Xenopus tropicalis: one gene and its partner. The protein of the gene in region 1 binds, or shares a complex with, the protein of each later gene. Links are inferred from orthologs where the notes say so. Each region holds a gene or a part of one and is shown in the gene's direction. Other genes may lie near its edges.

Region 1 (3,596 bases):
TGCGCTGCAAGTTGGAGTGATATCCCCCCCCCTCCCCCCAGCAGCCGATCAGCAGAACAATGGGAAGGGAGCAAGATAGCAGCTCCCAGTAGGTATCAGAATAGCACTCAATAGTAAGAAATCCAAGTCCGGCTTGGAACTCCTCCAATTACATGGGAGTAGGAGAAACAATAGGTTAGCTGAAAGCAGTTCTAATGTGTAGCGCTGGCTGAAAGCTCAGACTCAGGCACACTTTACTGCTGCGCTGCAAGTTGGAGTGATATCCCCCCCCTCACCCCCAGCAGCCGATCAGCAGAACAATGGGAAGGGAGCAAGATAGCAGCTCCCAGTAGGTATCAGAATAGCACTCAATAGTAAGAAATCCAAGTCCGGCTTGGGACTCCCCCAGTTACATGGGAGTAGGAGAAACAATAGGTTAGCTGAAAGCAGTTCTAATGTGTAGCGCTGGCTCCTTCTGAAAGCTCAGACTCAGGCACACTTTACTGCTGCGCTGCAAGTTGGAGTGATATCCCCCCCCCCTCACCCCCAGCAGCCGATCAGCAGAACAATGGGAAGGGAGCAAGATAGCAGCTCCCAGTAGGTATCAGAATAGCACTCAATAGTAAGAAATCCAAGTCCGGCTTGGGACTCCTCCAGTTACATGGGAGTAGGAGAAACAATAGGTAAGCCAGTACTAAGAGATGCCCATTCTAAAAACACGTGCCCCCGGGGTCTGGATTTGCTCCGTTCTCAGTGCCGGATTGGAAACATCCCCTAAAATCAGATCCAGATACCGCCGGAGAGCAGTTGCGTTTCTGTGCCCTTTTGGGCAGCGGATGAGAGAAATTAGTGAGATTAATATCGGTTTCTGCTGATAAATGACTCCCGGGGGGGAATATCCATCTTTACTGCACGCTGCGTTCCTATTGGTTTAGAGACAGACTGGGAGTATTGATTCCAACGGGGCCCAAAGGTCACTGCTTCCTCGTTAGGAGCCGAGTTATTTGTCAGCTGAGTTGGGGAATGAGGGGGGGGGTAATACCTTGGGGTTCATCTATTCATATTGGGGTGAGGGCAGATGAAGTCTTGTTGGACCTGATACTTTAATGACGTTGGTTCTTATTTCTATTTCTAGACTCTTCCAGAAGTTTGTTCCGAACAAGACGAACTGGACTTTCTGATGGAAGCTCTGATTATAAGGTAGGGGGCCCTGGTTAATATCAAGAGCCGAGCCAGCCGGTTCCCCTTGTTACCCAGACAGGTCCGAAGTAAGACTCATAATAGGCCCTGGCATTACCCAGAGGTCAGCACACAGAGTGGTTCTGGGTATCGGGCCCGTTGCACGTTTCCATGCTAAATGCCGGACCTCAGTGCCCCGGGGCACCGGTGCCAATCTCTGAATTACCCCAAGCCTGCAATGTGCAGGTACCAGCGGGTTCTTGAATCCCCCACACTGGGGTTCTTAGCAAGGAGGAACCATTACACAGGGCCCGACTGTGAGTGACAAACAGCTGGGGGGCCCCTGAGTAAGGGGGGGCTCTGTTGCTTTCTGTTCCTGGCTGGGGGCCCAGCGGGTTCTGCAGGGACAGCAGGCTGATAATGAGCCGGTGGAACTGGAGACAGAACATCAATAGAACCAGCGAAGTGTGGCCCCCGGCTGTTAATGATGTGACTGCGCTCGATTGGCTGTCAGGGTGAAGGTTAAACGGTCCCTTACTGTCCCCATTAGAAGCCACACAATCAGCACAATCGGCTACAGCCACTCAATGGGTTTGTCGCCATTAAGTAGAACTGCCCTTGTCACTCAGGGTCTGAAACCAACACGGGTCGGAAATGGTTCTACTGGGGCCCCGGCCAATAAGGGCTTTGAGTCTGGTTTGTGGGGCATCGCTGGGTGTCTGGGTCGGGCCCATTGGGGTTTTGGCCTAAACTGCCCCACGTTTATTTTATTAAATTGCCTTTATTGTCACAATGCGGGCAGCAGCAACGTTTCGGGCCTAATTGGCTCTTTCTCACTGTAGGAATTGGGCACCCGCTTATGCCCCTCACGTGGGTGCTGTTCCTGGAGACAAAGAGAAATAAAATGTGACCCAGAGCACCCAAGGGAACCCTAGTGAAATCTCAGGGCAAAGTGCCGGGCAGCGGCCGATAAACATTGGGGTCGTTACGACCGACTAAAGGTGGCCATACACGAGCAGATCCGCTCGCTTGGCGATGTCGCCAAGCGAACGGATCTTCCCCCGATATCCCCACCTACGGGTGGGCGATATCGGGGAGTATTTAGGTAAAAAAAAAAATAATCCGATCGTTTGGCCCTGGGGCCAAACGATCGGATTATGTGGGCGGCAATGGGGCAGTCGGATCGGGGACCGCATCAACGAGCCGATGCGGTCCCTGATCCGACCGGATTTTCTAACCTGGCCGATCGAGATCTGGCCAGATATCGGTCGGCCAGGCCAGGCCGCTCTGCTCTCCCCATACACGGGACGATTAGCTGCCGAATCGGTCCAAGGGACCCATATCGGCAGCTATAGTCGGCCCGTGTATGGGGACCTTAAGGGCCGACAGGCCTCCCCGACTCACAGCCTAGAATTGGGCAGATGTAGAACGGACAGGCTTGATTATCAAATCTGAGGAGGGGTGGGGAGGGGTCGATACCGGGAGGGGTCGGTACCGGGAGGGTGGGGGGGGGTCGGTACCGGGAGGGGTCGGTACCGGGAGGGTGGGGGAGGGGTCCGGTACCAGGAGGGGTCCGGTACCGGGAGGGTGGGGAGGGGTCGGTACCAGGAGGGGTCGGTACCGGGAGGGTGGGGAGGGGTCAGTACCAGGAGGGGTCGGTACCGGGAGGGTGGGGAGGGGTCGGTACCAGGAGGGGTCGGTACCGGGGAGGGGTGGGGAGGGGTCGGTACCGGGAGGGTGGGGAGGAGTCGGTACCGGGAGGGTGGGGAGGAGTCGGTACCGGGAGGGTGGGGAGGGGTCGGTACCGGGAGGGTGGGGAGGGGTCGATACCGGGAGGGTGGGGAGGGGTCGGTACCAGGAGGGGTCGGTACCGTGAGGGGGAGGACAGGTCGGCAGGGACAATACAATATTTATGTGCAAAACACTGACCTTCATGTCCTTCTGACCGTTGAGATGTGGGAATGGTAATTACATTTGGGTCGGAGCCAGAACCTCACGTATTCTCTCTCTCTCTCTCTCCCAGTAAATTCAGCCACCAGAACATAGTGCGGTGCATCGGTGTCAGCCTGCAGGCGCTGCCCCGGTTTATCCTCCTGGAACTCATGGCCGGAGGGGACCTGAAATCCTTCCTCAGGCAGACGCGGCCCCGGCTGGTGAGACCCCCCCTTGTCTGCTCCTTGTGCTGCAGAGCCCCCCGGCCCCACTGCAGAGCCCCATTAGCCTGGATCCGTGACACACACAGCGGCCTCCATGTTTGTTCCACTTGGGGGGGAAAAGCTCAATCTTTTGTTGCTTAATTGCATTATGGACCTTTGTGTGGGGTTTATATGCCCTTTAAATGGCTGGCTCGCCTTTACATGAACTTTTAATATGTTATAGAATGCCCTATTCTTAGCAACTTTGCAATTGGTCTTCATTATTTTTTTTTATAGTTTAAT
Region 2 (4,302 bases), about 130 Mb from region 1:
CTGCTGGGGGGGAGGGGGATATCAATAAATAAAAATAAAACTTTTATGTATTCTACTGCAAAAAAATGCAAAATCAAAAATACTGTTAAGTTAAATCAGTCAATAACCATTCCCAATAAAGACAGAGGAAACACTTTATATAACTGTTTAACACTGTCGTATCATTAAGTAAACTTTCCCTTTGCTGTTGTTATGGTGAGTAAGTTCCTATCAAACAGCCAGAGACTCAAGATGACAGAAGAAGACAATGCGATCCAAGGTGGAGACATCATGGGGGAAAGAGATGCCCTTTAGTCTGTTTCCAGCTCAGTAACTAACAGAATTTTTACCGACTGAAGGGAAAATAGCATTTAATAATCGTGTAGTTGTTAAAAATAAAGACTTCAGTGTAATAAATGAGTGGCCACAACCTTCTCTTCATCCCCAGTAATTCTCTTACATTTCACAGACTATCCTAAAGAGGAAACATTACTGTCGACCTACAATTATATGTTCTATCTGCACGGCCAGCAGTAGTGCTGGGAAGTCAGACCATGATTTCAGTATTTTTCTTAGTACTTACTCTGGGCCCCAGTTGTTGCAATCTAACCTTGTCCTGGGCAGAACCATCTAGTATCAGTGCATGTAACTGGCTATATTTTAACTATACAGTAAGTGTTTAATGTAATAGTTTTTATGTTCTAAAACCAAGCAGCCTGAGCCTGACATTTCAAGCATAAATGCTATATGAAACTGAGGAAACATTTGAGAGTGCAATTCCAGTATGTGCCAGGGTGTGTCGCTCAAGGAGAGGCCATACAGTGCAGGAATAGTGTGACACAAAGGCATGCTCTTTGATCCCTTAATGACATAGTGTGCCTGTAAGTCTTTAGGGATGAAACTGTCGCTCTTCTGGGTATTATCATTGTTTACACCCTATTTCTGTCCCGTTCTACTTCTTCACATCCAGAAAAGCCGCGATCATACACATTATTTGCTTTCTGCTGGGAGTGGTAAACACACAAATGAAAGCAAATAGAAAAGTTCAACAAGATCAGATTTTTCCATCATTCACCTTGACTGCCTGAGCTGGGGAAAGCCTCCCCTGCCATTTGGCATCCTCCAGTGTGACAAGGTGTGAGTGCACTGTTGTTTGGCATCTGCAACTGACTGAGCAGCCTATTGGGCAGGCAGAATGGGGATATTCCCAAGCACATTTGTACCTGGGACCCTATGGCAGCAGGGCAGGCAGAATGGGGATATTCCCAAGCACATTTGTACCTGGGACCCTATGGCAGCAGGGCAGGCAGAATGGGGATATTCCCAAGCACATTTGTACCTGGGTCCCTATGGCAGCAGGGCAGGCAGAATGGGGATATTTCCAAGCACATTTGTACCTGGGTCCCTATGGCAGCAGGGCAGGCAGAATGGGGATATTCCCAAGCACATTTGTACCTGGGTCCCTATGGCAGCGGGGCAGGCAGAATGGGGATATTCCCAAGCACATTTGTACCTGGGTCCCTATGGCAGCAGGGCAGGCTGAATGGGGATATTCCCAAGCACATTTGTACCTGGGTCCCTATGGCAGCAGGGCAGGCAGAATGGGGATATTTCCAAGCACATTTGTACCTGGGTCCCTATGGCAGCAGGGCAGGCAGAATGGGGATATTCCCAAGCACATTTGTACCTGGGTCCCTATGGCAGCAGGGCAGGCAGAATGGGGATATTCCCAAGCACATTTGTACCTGGGTCCCTATGGCAGCAGGGCAGGCTGAATGGGGATATTCCCAAGCACATTTGTACCTGGGTCCCTATGGCAGCAGGGCAGGCAGAATGGGGATATTCCCAAACACATTTGTACCTGGGTCCCTATGGCAGCAGGGCAGGCAGAATGGGGATATTCCCAAGCACATTTGTACCTGGGCCCCTATGGCAGCAGGGAAGGCAGAATGGGGATATTCCATTGCATATATCCACCGGGGCATCCCTGTACCAGTAGGGAGATACTGGGGTCCCACTAGGGAAAGCACAGTTGGGGCTCTTCTTTTGCAGATCTGTACCCAAAGGTCCCCTTGCTGAAAGAAAGGGCAGAGTTGGGGGTATTTTGCAGATCTGCACCTGTTGGACCCAGTGCCAGTAGGAAGGGCAGAGTTGGGGGTATTTAGCGGACCTGCACCTGTCGGACCCTGTGCCAGTAGGAGGGGCAAGGTTGGGGGTATTTAGCAGATCTGCACCTGTTGGACCCTGTGCCAGTAGGAAGGGAAAAGTTGGGGGTATTTAGCAATTTGCACCTGTTGGACCCTGTGCCAGTAGGAGGGGAAAAGTTGGGGGTATTTAGCAGATCTGCACCTGTTGGACCCTGTGCCAGTAGGAGGGGTAAAGTTGGGGGTATTTAGCAGATCTGCACCTGTTGGACCCTGTGCCAGTAGGAGGGGTAAAGTTGGGGGTATTTAGCAGATCTGCACCTGTTGGACCCTGTGCCAGTAGGAGGGGTAAAGTTGGGGGTATTTAGCAGATCTGCACCTGTTGGACCCTGTGCCAGTAGGAGGGGTAAAGTTGGGGGTATTTAGCAGATCTGCACCTGTTGGACCCTGTGCCAGTAGGAGGGGTAAAGTTGGGGGTATTTAGCAGATCTGCACCTAAAACAAAAGCAGAAGATAATGCAATCGCCATGTTATATTGCGCCTAGGGTAAAAGCAATGTGGGGGGCACACAGCAGTTTTAATACAAAATTCAACCTGAGCGCATTTACTTTCAATTCTTCCGCCCATAGAGAAAGCAGAGTAAGAGAGTGAGGGCCACTGGGCAGTACAGGGTGCATATAGGGAGCCGGAGTGGGGCCCCTGCCAGGCAGCCTGACCATCAGCCCAAGGGCCCCAGATTCCAAGCAAAGCGCGATCTGTACATTTCCAGTTAAATCGTTTCCCGGTAGAAGCCGCAGCGATTCCTGCAGGAGGGAGTTGTGCGACCGGGAACAAGGCAATGGGTTTCCCTGGGAAGCGCTATCTGATGAGCCAGTCCCATCGGAGAGAGAGCGCTCCTTACGTCTGCAGCGCAAAGTGGATAAAGTGCGCTACTGTCCTGCGACTGGGGGTCGCACTGGGGGGGCTAAACGTACTCGCACCAACCTGCATTGTTTCCTCCCACATCCAATTCGATATTATCAGACCCAGCAGCCACCTCACCGGCATCCTAAACTATATATAGAAGAGCCATTCACAGCGCTGGCGATGGTTTCCACCAGCTGAGAGTCGCAGCAACTCTCCCCCCCCCCCCCCGTCCCCAGATTCAACCTAGAAAGTGCCACAAGCTCTGTGCCATTTACCAGCCAGGAGAGCTGAAGCTTTTCCCAAAGTGTCACTGGTCTGTGCCATTTACCAGCCAGGAGAACTGAAGCTTTTCCCAAAGTGTCACTGGTCTGTGCCATTTACCAGCCAGAAGAACTGAAGCTTTTCTCCAAAAGTGCCAGAAAGCAACAGACAAGGTGAGGTGATTGTGGTTTAGGTTACACTTGTATCACTTGGGCACTTGTATCACTTGTGCACTTGTATCACTTGTGCACAACTCAGAAACACACTTCTTTGGCAGTAATTACTGGGGATGGCTAGTATTAGGGAATCCAAGTTGCAAAAGTGGCTATTACTGCATGGAGGGCAGAAGATATTTTAGGGTAGGACAGATAGGACATTTGCCCTATTCCTCCCTGTATCTCAGGGACCCTTTTTAATTCAGCCTGTGCCCCTCCAGCTGTTGTTGAACTGCAAGCTGTTGGGGAATGTTTGGAGTTATAGCTCAACAATCACTGTAGGGTGAAAGCTTGCATATCTGTGTGCTCTTTTCCATTTCCCTCATATTGGGACCCCAACCTCCCTGCAGTACCCAGGGTCCCTAGATTCATCCTCTGTTTCAGTGAAAAGTGAGCACATGAGTTTTGTTAGTGAAAGGGAAAGGGTTAACCACACCAGTGACAGGGCTGGGAGTCTTAACAAAAACACCCACTTCATGATTATTCATTCTTTCTTCATTATTGTTACTTGTCCGCGAAGCAGCAGCAGCAGCAGGATTCCAAACTGGACGGATTGCGCTTACCTGGAGCAGCTATGAATAAACTCAGGGGTGCTGCCATGCTGGTTGTGGTGCTCTTGGTGCTGCCTGCCTGCCACTGCAAAGAGAGGACTGACTCCAGGAATATAACTGAGAAAAACCTGATGAACTTCATTGTGAGACTCATTAAAGAGGTTAAAGTGTACCGTCTGCAGGAAGGCAATGGGAAGCAGCATTTGGCCAGGAAAGAAGACTACAGCCTGGACGAGAAGGAGAACC

Evidence for each region. Proteins that work in one complex are often made in the same cells at the same time.
Region 2: the proteins of alk (region 1) and alkal2 are in contact, whole or in part, in a cryo-EM structure (PDB 9G5I), measured with the Homo sapiens proteins. The link is inferred for Xenopus tropicalis from reciprocal best matches to the Homo sapiens genes ALK and ALKAL2. Residues at the interface, in NP_004295.2 of Homo sapiens: Leu684, Tyr739, His755, Ser758, Leu760, Phe856, His857, Glu859, Leu965, Tyr966, Thr967, Pro968, Leu970, Lys971, Val972, Met973, Glu974, Glu978, Asn980, Val992, Glu994, Cys995, His996, Met997, Phe1007, Asp1009; in NP_001002919.2 of Homo sapiens: Ser112, Lys113, His114, His116, Arg117, Leu118, His120, Asn121, Thr122, Arg123, Asp124, Arg133, Arg136, Leu137, Arg140, Leu141.

What each region holds. Positions count from the first base shown.
Region 1 is NC_030681.2:6,140,037-6,143,632, reverse strand, and holds part of alk (ALK tyrosine kinase receptor), read left to right. Parts: intron 1-1,114; coding exon 1,115-1,179; intron 1,180-3,181; coding exon 3,182-3,311; intron 3,312-3,596. UniProt on the Homo sapiens protein: Neuronal receptor tyrosine kinase that is essentially and transiently expressed in specific regions of the central and peripheral nervous systems and plays an important role in the genesis and differentiation of the nervous system.
Region 2 is NC_030681.2:133,736,503-133,740,804, reverse strand, and holds the start of alkal2 (ALK and LTK ligand 2), read left to right. Parts: upstream 1-1,482; 5' UTR 1,483-3,463; intron 3,464-3,524; exon of another isoform or gene 3,525-4,028; 5' UTR 4,029-4,079; coding exon 4,080-4,302. UniProt on the Homo sapiens protein: Cytokine that acts as a physiological ligand for receptor tyrosine kinases LTK and ALK, leading to their activation. Cytokine-binding is sufficient to activate LTK. In contrast, ALKAL2-driven activation of ALK is coupled with heparin-binding to ALK.